Linked DNA regions of Drosophila melanogaster. The protein of the gene in region 2 interacts with the protein of the main gene of each other region in a pairwise test. Each region holds a gene or a part of one and is shown on either strand. Other genes may lie near its edges.

Region 1 (4,152 bases), on a different chromosome or scaffold from region 2:
GTTTTCAAGTTTTCAAATCGCTGCGGTATGTATAAGTTTATGAATTTTTAGTCCGCGGCGGCGTTCCCTTCACCTATTCCATTTTCACTCGACGCCTTTCCGCTTTCAGTTCGGAAAGAGACTGACTCGGATTCGGATTCAGATTCACATTCAGAGCAGTTGCAAAGTTTATTTCGGCAGCATCCCAAACGGAATGGCGGAAAATCAATACGTGCTCACGGGACCGGTGCTCTGGCCGCATCGAGAGTCAAGAGAGGACAGCCGCAGCCACAGCCGCGACAGGCCCACCCCGGAGAGTGGAGAGCACGGCGGAATGGCGGAACGGCAGCTGGACCCACTTCACCATCCTCGGGCAGTCGGCTCGGGTGGTGGTTGTTCCGAAAGTGGCGCAAATGAGGCCAAAGACCCCGGCTAGCAACCCTTAAGGAGGCCCAGATAAACAATCATTAGGTGAACATGAGTGGCTTTCGCCAAATGAATGACACACAAAACTCGGAAACTCCTTGTGAAATGAGAGTTTTAGTAATTGAGAGCAGATATTACCATTAGTGTATTAAACATAATCTCAGTATTATAAGAGCACGATCAATGGGTTTCAGATATTTATTGTTGATTTACTTAGATGTTACTTAAAGCTATGAGGGTAATATATAGCACTACCATCCCATTGGTCCTCTAGGCAGACCAGGCCCACCTCTGTGATGGTGATCCTCGGGTGGAGTCTGGGGCGTGTGGTAGATTCTCCTGGACTCAGCCATGCGCTGGTTGTAGCTTTGAATCTGCTCCTGCAGCTGAGCATCCTCCTGCTGGGCTCGTTGTTCATCGAACTCCAGGCAGGCAGCGCCATCCAGTCGGTCCAGATCCACCCAGCCCCGGAAGCGGACGCACACCCCGTTCATGATGAAACTAGAACGCAAATGAACTTTGCCCCGCTCCCGCTCGAAATCGCAATCCTGCTCCTGGGCGTACGGATTGTGGTTGGCGTTGAAGTAGAGCTGCAGATTAGTTCCTGAAGCTACCATCGATATCTCCGCATAGCCCTTGCGGCAGTCGTTGACAAACCGCATCCTGCGCTCCTCCATTGCACGTTCCCGGTATCCTGTGTAGCGAACCTCGCTCTCCCTACTCAATCGGCGGAAGAGCTCGTCGCTATCGAACTTGGACCTCTGGTCAGGCACCACGCGGGGCATCTTGAAGATGAATCTGGGCTTGGGCTGCTCGTACATAGCCATGGCTTCGTATGGCGGGATCATTCCATTCATGGCGGCCGCGTCTCCGAGATTCTGGTGATGATGCATGTCTAATGTTATAACTGTATTCTCCGAAAGATATAGTTGTACTGATCAATGTTAAAATTGACCGCCTTATTTAAACAAAAAAAAAAAGTTGTAGAACAGGTAATCGGGAGCGATTGGGCTACCTAACGAATCCCCTAATTGTCGCCTGGTAATCAAGGATGGAAACCATCTGGACACAATAAGGATCAGGTATAGCACTTATAAGTATCCTATTTGAGGTTTGTTTTATAATCCGTAGGGTTTTTACAGCTCCGAATATTATACTTTGAGGATTGCAGGTATAATGCTATCATAAATAAAACGAACGAATTGAACGCACTATATAATTTTAAGTTTAAATTCGAAATTACGTTTTAGCGGTAATTTTAACAGTGTTGGTTAGCACAGCGCTTAAGCAAAGGGAGTTGCCAACCATGGCAGCCCAAGCAGGTGACAACTCTAGAGTCCGGGCACATTAAACAGCTGTTGTGTATTGTATTGTTTAACTTTAGCAATTTTATAAACATGTCGCTTGTTGCTTATGCTGCCAGTTCTGATGAAGATTCGGAGAACGAAGAGGAAAATTCTGTACCACAAGTGGAAGTAATAAAACCCCAAGCCAAGCCGAGCACACCAAGTGAAGCGTATCTAGCTCGGGAATCAACCAGTGGTCACATTAGTGATGAAGATGACGACTACGTTCCCCAGGAAGTGTCCCTTCAGGAGTTAAAGCCGCCCAACGGAAGACTGCTATTAGCCTTACCCAAACCAAAAGTCACTGCTCCCGCTAAGGATCTGGAAAATGAGGATGTGGACAACCAGGTTACTTCCGCCTTTGCCAACCTGCCCATGCCACGAACAGCAGCGAAAGGAAAAGCCATTGTAGAGGAGAAAGACGATGAGTTTCTGCACAAAAAGGCGCTGCCCGTAGAAATAGAGAAACCTCCACCGCCGCCAGTCAAGGGAAAAGTAAAAATCAGCATTCCTTCACTAAGAGATTTCTCAGATGTAGACCAGGAGAAAGCTGACAGGGCTAAGAACAAAGTTGATAAGCCCAATGTACCCAAGGGATCGGGATTGTTGAGTCTGCTGCCCCAAGCAAAGTCGGAGCGCAACTTCTCCAAGAACTCTTCATCCGCGGTAGCCTACCCATCAGCCAGCACTACTCTTGCTTCCAGTCTAAGCAATAATCCTGCGCAGCCTCGAGCAGCACCAGCTTTTGTTCCCGATACAGTTAAGCAGCGACGAGCTGCACACAACACCGAAGGCGTAGATGGCCCTAAGGCCGGGCACAAGAAGAATCCTGAGACAAAAGACGCTTTGAAGTCAACAAAATCCAAACCTATAAGTAAACCCACTTCGCTGGTAAATGCCAGCGATAGTGAAGATGATGACGAAGATGGCACTGGAGACTTTTTCTCCCTGAATTCCGAGCAAAAGCTGCCTGAGGTGAGCAGCAACGAGATTAGCGCTCTAGTGGCCAAGCGAGCGGCCAAGATGGTGGAAGCCAGTAGCAAGTACCTAGAGGAGGTAGCCGAGAAGGAAGCAGCCGAAGCAGAAGCCGCCCGACTTCAGGAAGAGCAGTCTCAGATTGCACAAAAGCGCTACCATGAGCAACAGTTAAACGCAGAGGCCATGGACGCATTGGTGGGCAAAAATGCCAAGCGCCGGCGGAAGGAGGCCAAGGAGATGCAGGTGATCGACATATCTGGGTCTCAGGTGCTACCTGATCGCGAGGAATGGATGCGATCGGCTCTGGCTTCGTCCACCACCTTCCAACCGACCGGCGTGCTGACGGACGAGGAGCCGGTGGCAGGGACTCGGCGCAAGCACCAGATCACCTACCTGGCGCACAAGGCGAAGGCCAACGAAGCCGAGCTGCAGGCCATGTGGTCGGCCAACCGGCAGACCCGTCGGGCCACCCAAAGCAAATACGGCTTTTGAGTTTTCACTTTATGTACACCTAATCCTACAATATATGCTTAATATTACTGTATCCAGCCCTCTCGTTTTCCCAGCCTGCTGCCAACATAGAAGATGGCGGTGCTCAGCAGCAGGATGACCGGGGCAACGGTCACGTATATGGGAATCTGTTGCGGGTACTCCAGCGTTAGGCAGATCATCACTTGGGAGGCGATGGTCAGCAGGACGCCGGCAATGTTCCATTTGTAGAGGAACAGGAGATCCGTCAGGCAGGTTAGGTTCCGCCACTTGCGGATAAATTTAATGATCACGTAGATGATAATGATCACATCGAAGAACCAGAGTGGCGTAAAGGTGACGAACCAATTCCAGGTGGTGCGTGGGTCCAGGCGGAGACACAGAAGAATCAGGAAGACCAGGACGATAAACCAAGTGAAGAGCGCCCGGTGTGCCAGTGTCATCTTTGTCACTTATTTATATATTTTCCATGGTATTACAGAAAATAAACAAAGCGAAGTTACCGTGAATAGAATGCACTTTGTCCAGTGCTGTAAAACTACGATTACAGTGGTCACTAAAAGTGTTCGTAGAAATACATTTACCAACTCAATTTTCGAATATTATTGACGAAGATTAAATATATTCAAAAATATCACGTAAAATCTGTATATTTAACTATATAAAGAAGACTGGAGAGCATGATAATTCATTCATATTCATGTGTGTACTTTTGAAAACTTATGGTTCCCAGTGTATGCACATCTGCCAACGCTGGCAACACTGACTGGGTCGCGAAGAAGAAGATAATTGACGTGTCACAATTTCGACGATTGGTTGGTGTTTTTCATAAAATTAATTGTTGGCAGTATATTACGTGTTACTTGTAGCGTATCAATAAAATGGGTTTGTTCTAACACCCACCTCTTGATGTTTTGATACAGGCAAGTGCTCG
Region 2 (9,828 bases):
AGCATGGAGAAGCTGGAGTGGGAAGTTCTGATGCCACCAAACACCCAAATTCATGGATCCGTGTTCATTGTCCTGCTGCTGATGTCCTACTGTTCCCTAATAATTGGCTTTCCCATAGCCACCTTTTTTGCCCTGAAATTTGTGGTGCTCAAGAGCTATGCCCATATCAATGCCGATATTATTTCGACCATTTGCACCGTAGTTGCAGTTCATGCAGCAGTTGGCTTTTACATCTACCGAGCCATCTATGCAAAGAGTGTGACGGCCAAAAGCGCCAAAATATCTCTGTAAAATAATTGTATCTCCACCTTTCGACTATCTTTGATATGCCAATACATCACAATACTTTCTTCTGTATATATCTTGAACACTTCCTGCTTTCATCATGTGGCTGACATATTTTTCGTGAAAATTGTATTCGTATTCGCCAATGCGAAAAAATGCTACCCACGCGATGATTTCTGTTTTGGTTGAAAGCAATATGAGTTGGAAGCGCATTTCAGCCGTCACTTGTCCATCCCGCGATTGGGACTTCTTGACGGCCACATGTCCAGGGATTTGTGTTTGTGGGACAAAGAACGAATGCAGCCTAAGTTTTTTCCGCATGGAAAGTTTACGGTAGTGACATGGCCAATGCCAACTTTAAACTGCACAACGTGATCTTATTTATTGCCCATATCGACCGATTTTTGTCAGCTGCCATGACTTTGTCTAAATATCTTTAAAGTCTTTGACGACATGGAAAGGCAACAGGTGAAACTCGTGATTTAAGTACAATACTTACCATTTTTTTTTTTTTTTTGAGCACATTCACAACTCCAGAAGGCAGAATTTCTTTGGTGACAGTTCCATTTTTCATCTGCCAGTAGGAATTAGTTCATTTTGATGTTAATGCAACGTGAGAAGGTGACACCCTCTTGTGATGGGCAATTAAATGCTTCGGTAGCAATAATAAATGTCGTTTTATTGCCACATTTATGCGATGCACACGCGGCGACACTAACAAGGCAAAGAAATATCAAAAACAAAGGCCGGGCGAGAAATTCACATGTTTATTTGTTCTAGTTGAATGAACGTGTAACAACTTGCAGTTAGTATGCTATTGGCCCGAGCGCAGCTAGTTGACTGAGTAAACAAACAGAGTTGGCAGCAAGTAAACAAATGGCCCAGAGCAACAGGTAATTTCCGTACAGCATCCTCCAGGCGCATGTGCGGAAATTGCGTTAGAATGGGCCGATAAATAGCTATCTGAAATTCAAATAGCAAGCTTTAACTAGGTGCATTTTCTTATAACTAAAATAATCTAGTTGGATGCACTTTAAAACGAACAAACCAAACAAATAATATCTTTTCAAATTTAAAGTTAAAATTTAAAAAACCGTTAGAGCGCTGCCATATTGTCAAAAAGGATAAACGAATGGCAGCCTTGCACCATCGGTAGCGCCATCTAGCGTGCATCGGTAGATACCGCCACCGAATATTTAAATATTATATATAAATATATTTGTAGCTTAATAAATATTATTTTAGCATCTAGAATCCTTAGTATTTATATCAGAATCAGTTCATCCGAGAAATACCTATCACCGCATGTTCCATCTATCAATTTCTGCTTTCACTTAAAAGTTGCCTGGCGTGTGAATTCCTACTAATAGATAGCTCGAAAATAATAATAAGTCAAAATGTCGATGATATTCAACACGGAGTATGGCTACCTGGAGGCCCTAACGCGCGGATTCAAGAACGGCATGCTAAAGCACTCGGACTATCTAAATCTGACCCAGTGTGAATCCCTCGAGGACGTAATGATCAGCATCCAGGGCACGGATTACGGTCTCATCTTTGGTGGCGAACAATCAGCGCCGTCCGTTGAGGTGATCGAAAGATGCCTTAGGGATCGTCTGCTGCAGCAATACTACTACATACGCAGTCATTCGACGGAGCCGCTGACCACCTTTATGGAGTTCATACGATATCCGTTCATGATCGATAATGTGGCGCTTCTGGTCGCTGGCCTAAACAATCACCGATCCATGAAGCGTCTGCTAAGAATGTGTCATCCGCTGGGCGAATTCGATCAACTGGGCGCCATCGAAGTGGCCTCGAATTCTGCGGAGCTCTTCGACGCCGTTCTAATTGACACGCCCATCGCTCGGTTTGTGCCACGCGATTTGCCCATGGAGTCGTTGCGTTACCTCGACGTGGAGATTGTGCGTGCCCATCTGTATCGTGCTTATTTGGAGAAATTCTACGCCTATTGCAGCCAACTGGGCGGCAATACCGCCAACGTGATGACCAATCTATTGTCCTTCGAGGCGGATCGTCGGACCATTACAATAGCTGTGAACGCTATTGGCAGTGATATCATGTAAGATATCTGTGTTGCTATGAAATTCTTCATATTATACTCATAATGCCCACCTTCCAACACTCAGACCGAAGGAGCGTCTAAAGATGTTCCCCACCTGTGGCTACCTGCCCAAAATAGCCTTGGCCTCCATGTCCACTTTAAATGATACGGATAAAATAAGGGATGTTTGCAATGTGTTCGATGGCTATGGCAAAATGTTTGACAATTTGGAGCGCGACTCGGACGGCATGATTACGCTGGAGGACCGCTTTCTCATGATGGAGGCCAAGAAGAATGTGCAGACCTTCCTGCAGCAGTACCATTTCGGGATCTTCTACTCGTTCATTAAACTTAAACAGTTGGAGGTACGCAATATCGTCTGGATTAGCGAATGCATAGCGCAGCGACAGACGGACAGAATCAACGCCTTCATTCCCATACCCTTGGACTAGAAACGCTTTTGCTTTCCTTCTTCGAAATGTTTTCCCTTTGAAATGTGTGTTATAATATATAGGCGTTGTTATAAATAAAACACATGCATAACAATTTCGCATTAATTTTGGCGCCAAATTTGTTTCGTTTGCGTCCCGGCTAACCACCCATCAACTGGGGTGTGTGTATTTGCTAACCAATCGATATGGACGATGCCGACAAAAATTATCGATATCAATCGACTTAAGGCCATGGATGCCCGACGCACCGATGTTTTTTGCACATCACTAACAACGATGTTGGCAAATGAAACGAACAAGCTGCTGCTTTCCTCGCAGCAGGAAAAACCAAATCACTACACGTAAATAGATGCTAACTAATGCAAACGATGGTTAATTTGACGTGCAACCTTTCCGCCAACCGTTTCAGCTACCTGAAGGAGTTCCGCGTGGAGCAGTGCCAGTCGTTTTTACAGCACAAGTGCAACCAGCATCGCCCCTTCGTCTGTTTCAATTGGCATTTTCAAAACCAGCGTCGGCGTCGTCCAGTGCGAAAACGCGATGGCACCTTCAACTACAGTGCGGATAACTATTGCACCAAATACGACGAGACCACTGGGATTTGTCCCGAGGGCGACGAGTGAGTAGAAATGTTGTGAAATTCATAGTTTCTGATGGCCCGTGAAAACGCTGGACGGGACGATTGCAGTGGCGGAGGATGGATGAGACAGCAATAGCGAACGACGTTGTATTTTTTTTGTTTCCTCTTTGCGCTCTCCTTCCTTCGCGATGTGTGTGTATCTCTTGTCTTCGTGTTTACAAACAAAAACCATAGTGTGTTTGTGTGCAGGGGGGTGTGGTGGGGGCGGTGGCAGGGGCCTGGCGTTGTCTGGAAAGCCAAAAGTGAAATTGTAAGTGCGTATGTGGGCGTGCTGCTTGCTGTATCTCTGTGCATGTGTATGTGTGTGCAGGCGAGGTCACCACCGTGCAAAAGTGAAAGTGATTCCAGCTCTAGTGGGCTAGCAAATTCTTATCAGCATCCGTTTTGTGGTGGTTGTTGCTCTCTTGTCGCATGTATACATGCACAGACGCTCGCATACACACAGGTACGCACAAACAAACACACGCACAGACGTAGGGCATCGCTACAAGTGTGTGCGTCATTGTTTTTATTGCGTTTCGCTTTTGCGTGTTTTCTTCTTCGTTTATTTTGATTTTCCCCCGGCAGCTTCGAAATGTACAGTTATTGTGGCTGGCGAGCTTTGGAGAAAAGCTCTGTGAAGTGTAAGAACGGGCTAAAAGTAAAACGCAATTACGCTTTGCGAGAGACAACAACAATGTCTGTTTTTATGACCCAGACTCGAGGTCCAACCTCTGACCCCGACCTCCATTCTATCCATTTATCGTTGTAGTCTCCTTACAGGGTACGAAGGTGGAAAGAAAGCGGTTTTAGTTTTGAAAGAGAAATTTCTTTTACTTATTAAAGAAATACCCTCAAACATGTATTAAAATGATGATTTTGCTGTAAATGTACAACTTTGTTGTTTTTTGTTACGGTTCTTTTTAATTAATGGGTATCATACAGTCCATTCACTTAGCCTCGTCGCCTGCTTTGACGTCACTAAAACTCCCTTTCTCCCCATTTAGATGCCCCTACTTACACCGCACTGCTGGCGACACCGAAAGGCGATACCATCTGCGCTACTACAAGACATGCATGTGCGTCCACGACACCGACAGCCGAGGATACTGCGTCAAGAATGGACTACACTGCGCCTTCGCCCACGGCATGCAGGACCAGCGCCCACCGGTTTATGACATCAAAGAGCTGGAGACCCTGCAGAACGCAGAGAGCACACTGGACAGCACTAATGCTTTGAATGCCCTGGACAAGGAGCGCAATTTGATGAACGAGGATCCCAAGTGGCAGGACACCAACTACGTGCTGGCCAATTACAAGACAGAGCCCTGCAAGCGCCCACCGCGCCTGTGCCGCCAAGGATACGCTTGTCCACAGTACCACAATAGCAAGGACAAACGTCGCTCGCCCAGAAAATACAAGTACAGGTAAGATTTCCCCTGAATTCATCCTAAAGTCAGTTTTAAACCGCGATATACCATTGTTTTAGGTCCACTCCTTGCCCCAATGTCAAGCACGGCGAGGAATGGGGAGAACCGGGCAACTGCGAGGCCGGCGATAACTGCCAGTACTGCCACACACGCACCGAGCAGCAGTTCCACCCGGAGATCTACAAGTCGACCAAGTGCAACGATGTCCAGCAGGCCGGATACTGTCCGCGCAGCGTCTTCTGCGCCTTTGCCCATGTGGAACGTAAGTATAGAGGATTCGATGAGCTAATATATAGGACTCAGCGTTGTGCTCCACAACCAGTTGTTGTAGGGATGTGTTTAGGGCCAAGTTATGATATTACAGTTCTAACTTAATGTTTGTCTTTTACTCGCCTCATCCATCAAACCGCAAATCTGTTTCCAACTATCACTCAAATCCTTTGAAAACACGTACATCAATCAATGTTTGCTTTGCCGCTCGGTGTTGCTTGTCCATGTAACTACTCCCAATCCAAATAAAGCATGTTCAATTGACGAGAAGACGCGGGATCACACGGTATACCTAAACGAGCTTATTTCCAATGCCTATCCTGATTTAAAAGCTCAGGATGCGTTTCAAAGGGTCGATAATGTACGTATTACCGAAGCAATAACACTCATCCAAATAACGCCATCGATTTGCATCGCCTAAACCTAAACGTACTACCACACATCGTTTGCCGCTCTAATCCAGCTAACCATCATCAACTAACTGCTTAACACTTTCGATAAGCCATTTAATCATGTGTCCTGCTCTCCTCGATTTTTTTCTTTTCGTTTTGTTCTCTTAGTTGTTGAACATTGATGGTAATAGCACCAATAAAATGTTGGTAGACGCTTTGGAAAACACAACAAATTTCAGCAAATTTTTAAGTTTCTCACGACCCCTGGACAGTCGTTGTGAGTATCCCAGAGTCCTGACATGCGTACGTCTAAGTTATACACTAGAAATCAGTTCTTCGTTTTGGTTGTGGACAAAGAATGTCAGCGCTTAGATAGCAAATGTCGTGACCCCTAGCCTAACTGAAATTCAATAATTTTTTGTCTTCACTCTTTGCAAGCAGCTTGCTCAATGGACGATCCGCGCGAGAACTCATTGTCGGCGAGTCTGGCCAATACTAGCTTATTAACACGTTCCTCGGCGCCAATTAACATTCCTAATACGACTCTAAGTAACTCAATTAACGGTAAGTAGTCATCAACGTCCTATGAGTGCCAACTAATTGCTAATGCTAATACTCCATTCCATTTGCACAGATTTTAACTCAGGTAGCTTTGCCGTCAACATTCCCAGCAGCTCGCTCACCTACAGTCCCACCAACCATGCCAATCTCTTCAACGTGGACGCCTTCAACTATGGCGGCTCAAACAAACTCAGCAATTCCCTTTCGGCCACCCAGAACGATAGCAGTCTCTTCTTTCCGTCGCGCATCATATCGCCTGGCTTTGGCGATGGCTTGTCGATTAGTCCTTCGGTAAGGATATCCGAATTGAATACCATACGCGACGACATCAACAGCAGCTCGGTGGGAAATAGTCTGTTCGAGAACACTCTCAATACGGCCAAGAATGCGTTTAGCCTTCAATCTCTGCAGTCGCAAAACAACAGCGACTTGGGTCGCATCACCAATGAGCTGCTCACGAAGAATGCTCAAATTCACAAGTTGAACGGACGTTTCGAGGACATGGCATGCAAGCTAAAGATCGCGGAGCTCCATCGGGACAAGGCCAAGCAGGAGGCGCAGGAGTGGAAGGAGCGCTATGACCTAGCACAGATACAGCTAAATTTGCCAGCAGAGCTTCGGGACTTGTCCATACAGAAATTGAAGCAATTGCAGGTTAGTCGCTTAATTAATTTCCCAATTCCATGGGTTTTAACCTGCTACCATTTTAGTCCAAGCTGCGCACCGACTTGGAGGAGGTCGACAAAGTATTATATTTAGAAAATGCCAAGAAGTGCATGAAGTGCGAGGAGAACAATCGCACGGTTACTCTGGAGCCGTGCAACCACCTGTCTATTTGCAATACATGCGCTGAATCGGTCACCGAGTGTCCCTACTGTCAGGTGCCGGTAATAACCACCCACACCTAGAACATGTTTTATCAGCAACAGGACCACAAGTGGCCCTTTGGCTGAAAATCGGATAGGGATGGGAAAGGGGATTCCGATGGGATATGAATGGATCATGGGGATCAAGACCGCGAACAGCATGACAATGTGGTACTCACAAAGCAAACTTTAGTCTTAAGCAAAACGTTGAAACTTTTGAACAGTTAGGATTTGACACATGCCTACTAATTGTGCATGTGGCAGGGAATATATAATTTATGTTTTCAATCTACTCAAAATATGCAAATTATCGTCATGAATATTAGTAATTACTAGGCACAAACTATTAATTGAATTAGCTAGCTGCTCTAAACGAATAAGTATGTAATTTTATTTTTGTTTATTTTTTCTCATATCGAATCGAATACAGGAAAAAACATTTTAAATTGATTTTGTACTATGATTTATGTAACCAACTCTTTTAATTTTGTTTAATATTCAATGTTTAGGCATACATATTTTCTAATCTACTGCACGAATTTGCAATGTCTCATTTATTTTTTTTTTAACCACATATGTATCTCTATATTTGTATTTAAATATGCTACACTTTCAGTCATATTGTACTTTTCACTAGTATTACATAAGAAATTATGAGAACTAAACAATTACAAGATGTAATTGAATGAAAGATATATAAATATATAATATATTAATTTTTCTAGACACTTTTAGCAATTGACTATTAACAAATTTATAGAAACCAACAAATTTAACAATATATTGTCGCATAGAAGAGCAGAAAACAACCACAAACAAACAAATACCACCAGTGATTTTATATAAGCCGATTTTCAAACTGTATTTTTTATGTATGTGTTTCAAACTTGTGAATGCAAACTACAACTAAAAGCCAAGACAATGGTCATAAAATCAATGTAACTGACGGGTAATCAATATTAGTCAGTACTCAGCTTTTATTTTCCTTTTTCAAATGCACAAAAGTAATTATAGACGTTGAAACGAGAAGTAACTAAAGGCGACAACGCTTTTCCTTATCGAAAGTTCATTTCATTTTGTCTTATTGAAAACCAAGTTGAATGTATTAAAACACTTTGATTTTTGTTTAGGCCTTGGTGCAGCTCGTGTAAGCCAATGCCAATTAACCAGTCACAAAATTATCAACTTACGTATATAATCTATTAGGTTACTTTGTGATTTGAATAGTGCTTTAAGTACTTACTTTGCAGATGACTTCAATTTTCATTTTACTTTCATAGTCTCAACTGGACGCTTCCAAATTAGTAAAAGCATAAAATGAATCGTCAATGTCAAAACGTAGTATTTAAGTCATATTAAATCCAGCATTTGGCTGATTGTACAAGAACGAATATGAACAGATATATATTTATGGGAAATTTGAACGCAGATTCGATGAGTGTGATGTTGAAAGCATAAACAATAAAAGTAACTCGATACAGCGAAATGAACAGAGTTTAATGAAAATGTTAACCAGAGTTAATGTAAAACCGTCTTCAAAAACCATTGTATTTTTCTGCGAATTAAAATTATCAAACGTAATCAATTGGACAATGTTGAATGAAACTGAAACGTGTTGTTAGCTAGTTGAGTTGAATTGATAAAGATGTAATCAAAATGAAACTGTTCTGGGAATGAATTGAATATGAATATGAAATCAACATAGGCATTTATTTGAAACAAAAGCAACACTATGAATATATATATACAAATGAAAAACTGAATTATATTATTACAAAGCTAACTAGGAAAGGCAGCGCAAAGGCTCTTATCTCTGTGTGTGTTTGTACTATGTTTTGTAGAAGCCAAATCAGCAAGAAATACAAATAATTAATAAATATAACAATAAACAATTGTGTGTTAACTTATAAATGCTTTAATAGTTTATGATACAAGTGTACACAAAAAAACTAAAAATCACGAGAACAAACAATGAGAAAATTGGTTTTATAATGGAGCTGTTGAGTCGCAAATCTATTGTGTGTATTACCAAACTAAACTGAAAACTGAATGCATACCTCTCTCAGAATATCACTGACTCTCATCACCGGAGACACAGTTTGAAAGATTTGCTAATTTACTTTATGAATCTCCACGAGATGTACATGGGATGTCTATCGAACTACGCGTTTTTTCAACCCCATTCCAAAACAAACCAATGCAAAGCAATTTTACAACATGTCAAGAAATCCATTTCACGCCATCTCAACTGTGAAGAATCAAACAGAAACCAGATCGAAAAGTATATGTACGTTACATACATATATATTTATAGATGACACATGTATTTTGTATACGCTACTGTAAGAGTGATTTTTATGTGATTTTGAAACTACTTGAATATGTGATCCAGAAATATATAAAAAACAAAAAAAGAACAAAAAAAAAAACGCAAAATAATATTTATATATATAAACGCAAGCTAGCGACAGCAAACAGCAATATAACAAATCAAATTGTAAACCAACTTGACTTTATGTACAACAACAACAATGACGACAAAAAATATAAAATATGTTGTACAGCTCCAGCTCCATTTAGAAAACAAAAGGCAAGAGAAGTAGGATTTTGGTAGTGGAAGAGATATGGACACACGTAGCATACTTAACAAATTGTCAAAAACAAAAAACAAAAAAACACGTAGACCAGAACAACATCAAAATCTTAAGGATACAAAAAAGAACAAGTAAATAAATGTCTAAATTATCAAATTGAATTATTAGCTAGCTTATAGGGTTCTCAGTTAAAAATTTACCAGAGGAAATACAAACGAGTAACAAAAGCAAAGGCAATTACTTCTCTAGATCTAGAACTAAGAACAAATGTTTGCTACCAATTGTTTCAACTAG

What was found.
Region 1: the proteins of unk (region 2) and Bro interact in a two-hybrid assay, tested with the Drosophila melanogaster proteins (one large-scale study listed by BioGRID).

The regions. Positions count from the first base shown.
Region 1 is NT_037436.4:1,645,051-1,649,202, reverse strand, and holds Bro (brother), read right to left. Parts: upstream 1,335-4,152; 5' UTR 1,299-1,334; coding exon 657-1,298; 3' UTR 591-656; downstream 1-590. Other genes in the region: CG17249 (uncharacterized protein), read left to right, coding at 1,803-3,221; CG13919 (uncharacterized protein), read right to left, coding at 3,266-3,661. UniProt on the Drosophila melanogaster protein: Regulates the DNA-binding properties of Runt.
Region 2 is NT_033777.3:23,151,094-23,160,921, reverse strand, and holds unk (unkempt), read left to right. Parts: upstream 1-3,059; 5' UTR 3,060-3,078; coding exon 3,079-3,143; intron 3,144-3,211; coding exon 3,212-3,421; intron 3,422-4,428; coding exon 4,429-4,848; intron 4,849-4,910; coding exon 4,911-5,113; intron 5,114-5,372; coding exon 5,373-5,482; intron 5,483-5,681; coding exon 5,682-5,790; intron 5,791-5,951; coding exon 5,952-6,077; intron 6,078-6,147; coding exon 6,148-6,728; intron 6,729-6,784; coding exon 6,785-6,982; 3' UTR 6,983-8,830; downstream 8,831-9,828. Other genes in the region: CG13829 (uncharacterized protein), read left to right, coding at 1-291; VhaAC39-2 (vacuolar H[+] ATPase AC39 subunit 2), read left to right, coding at 1,683-2,368, 2,436-2,802. UniProt on the Drosophila melanogaster protein: Essential for late larval/early pupal development.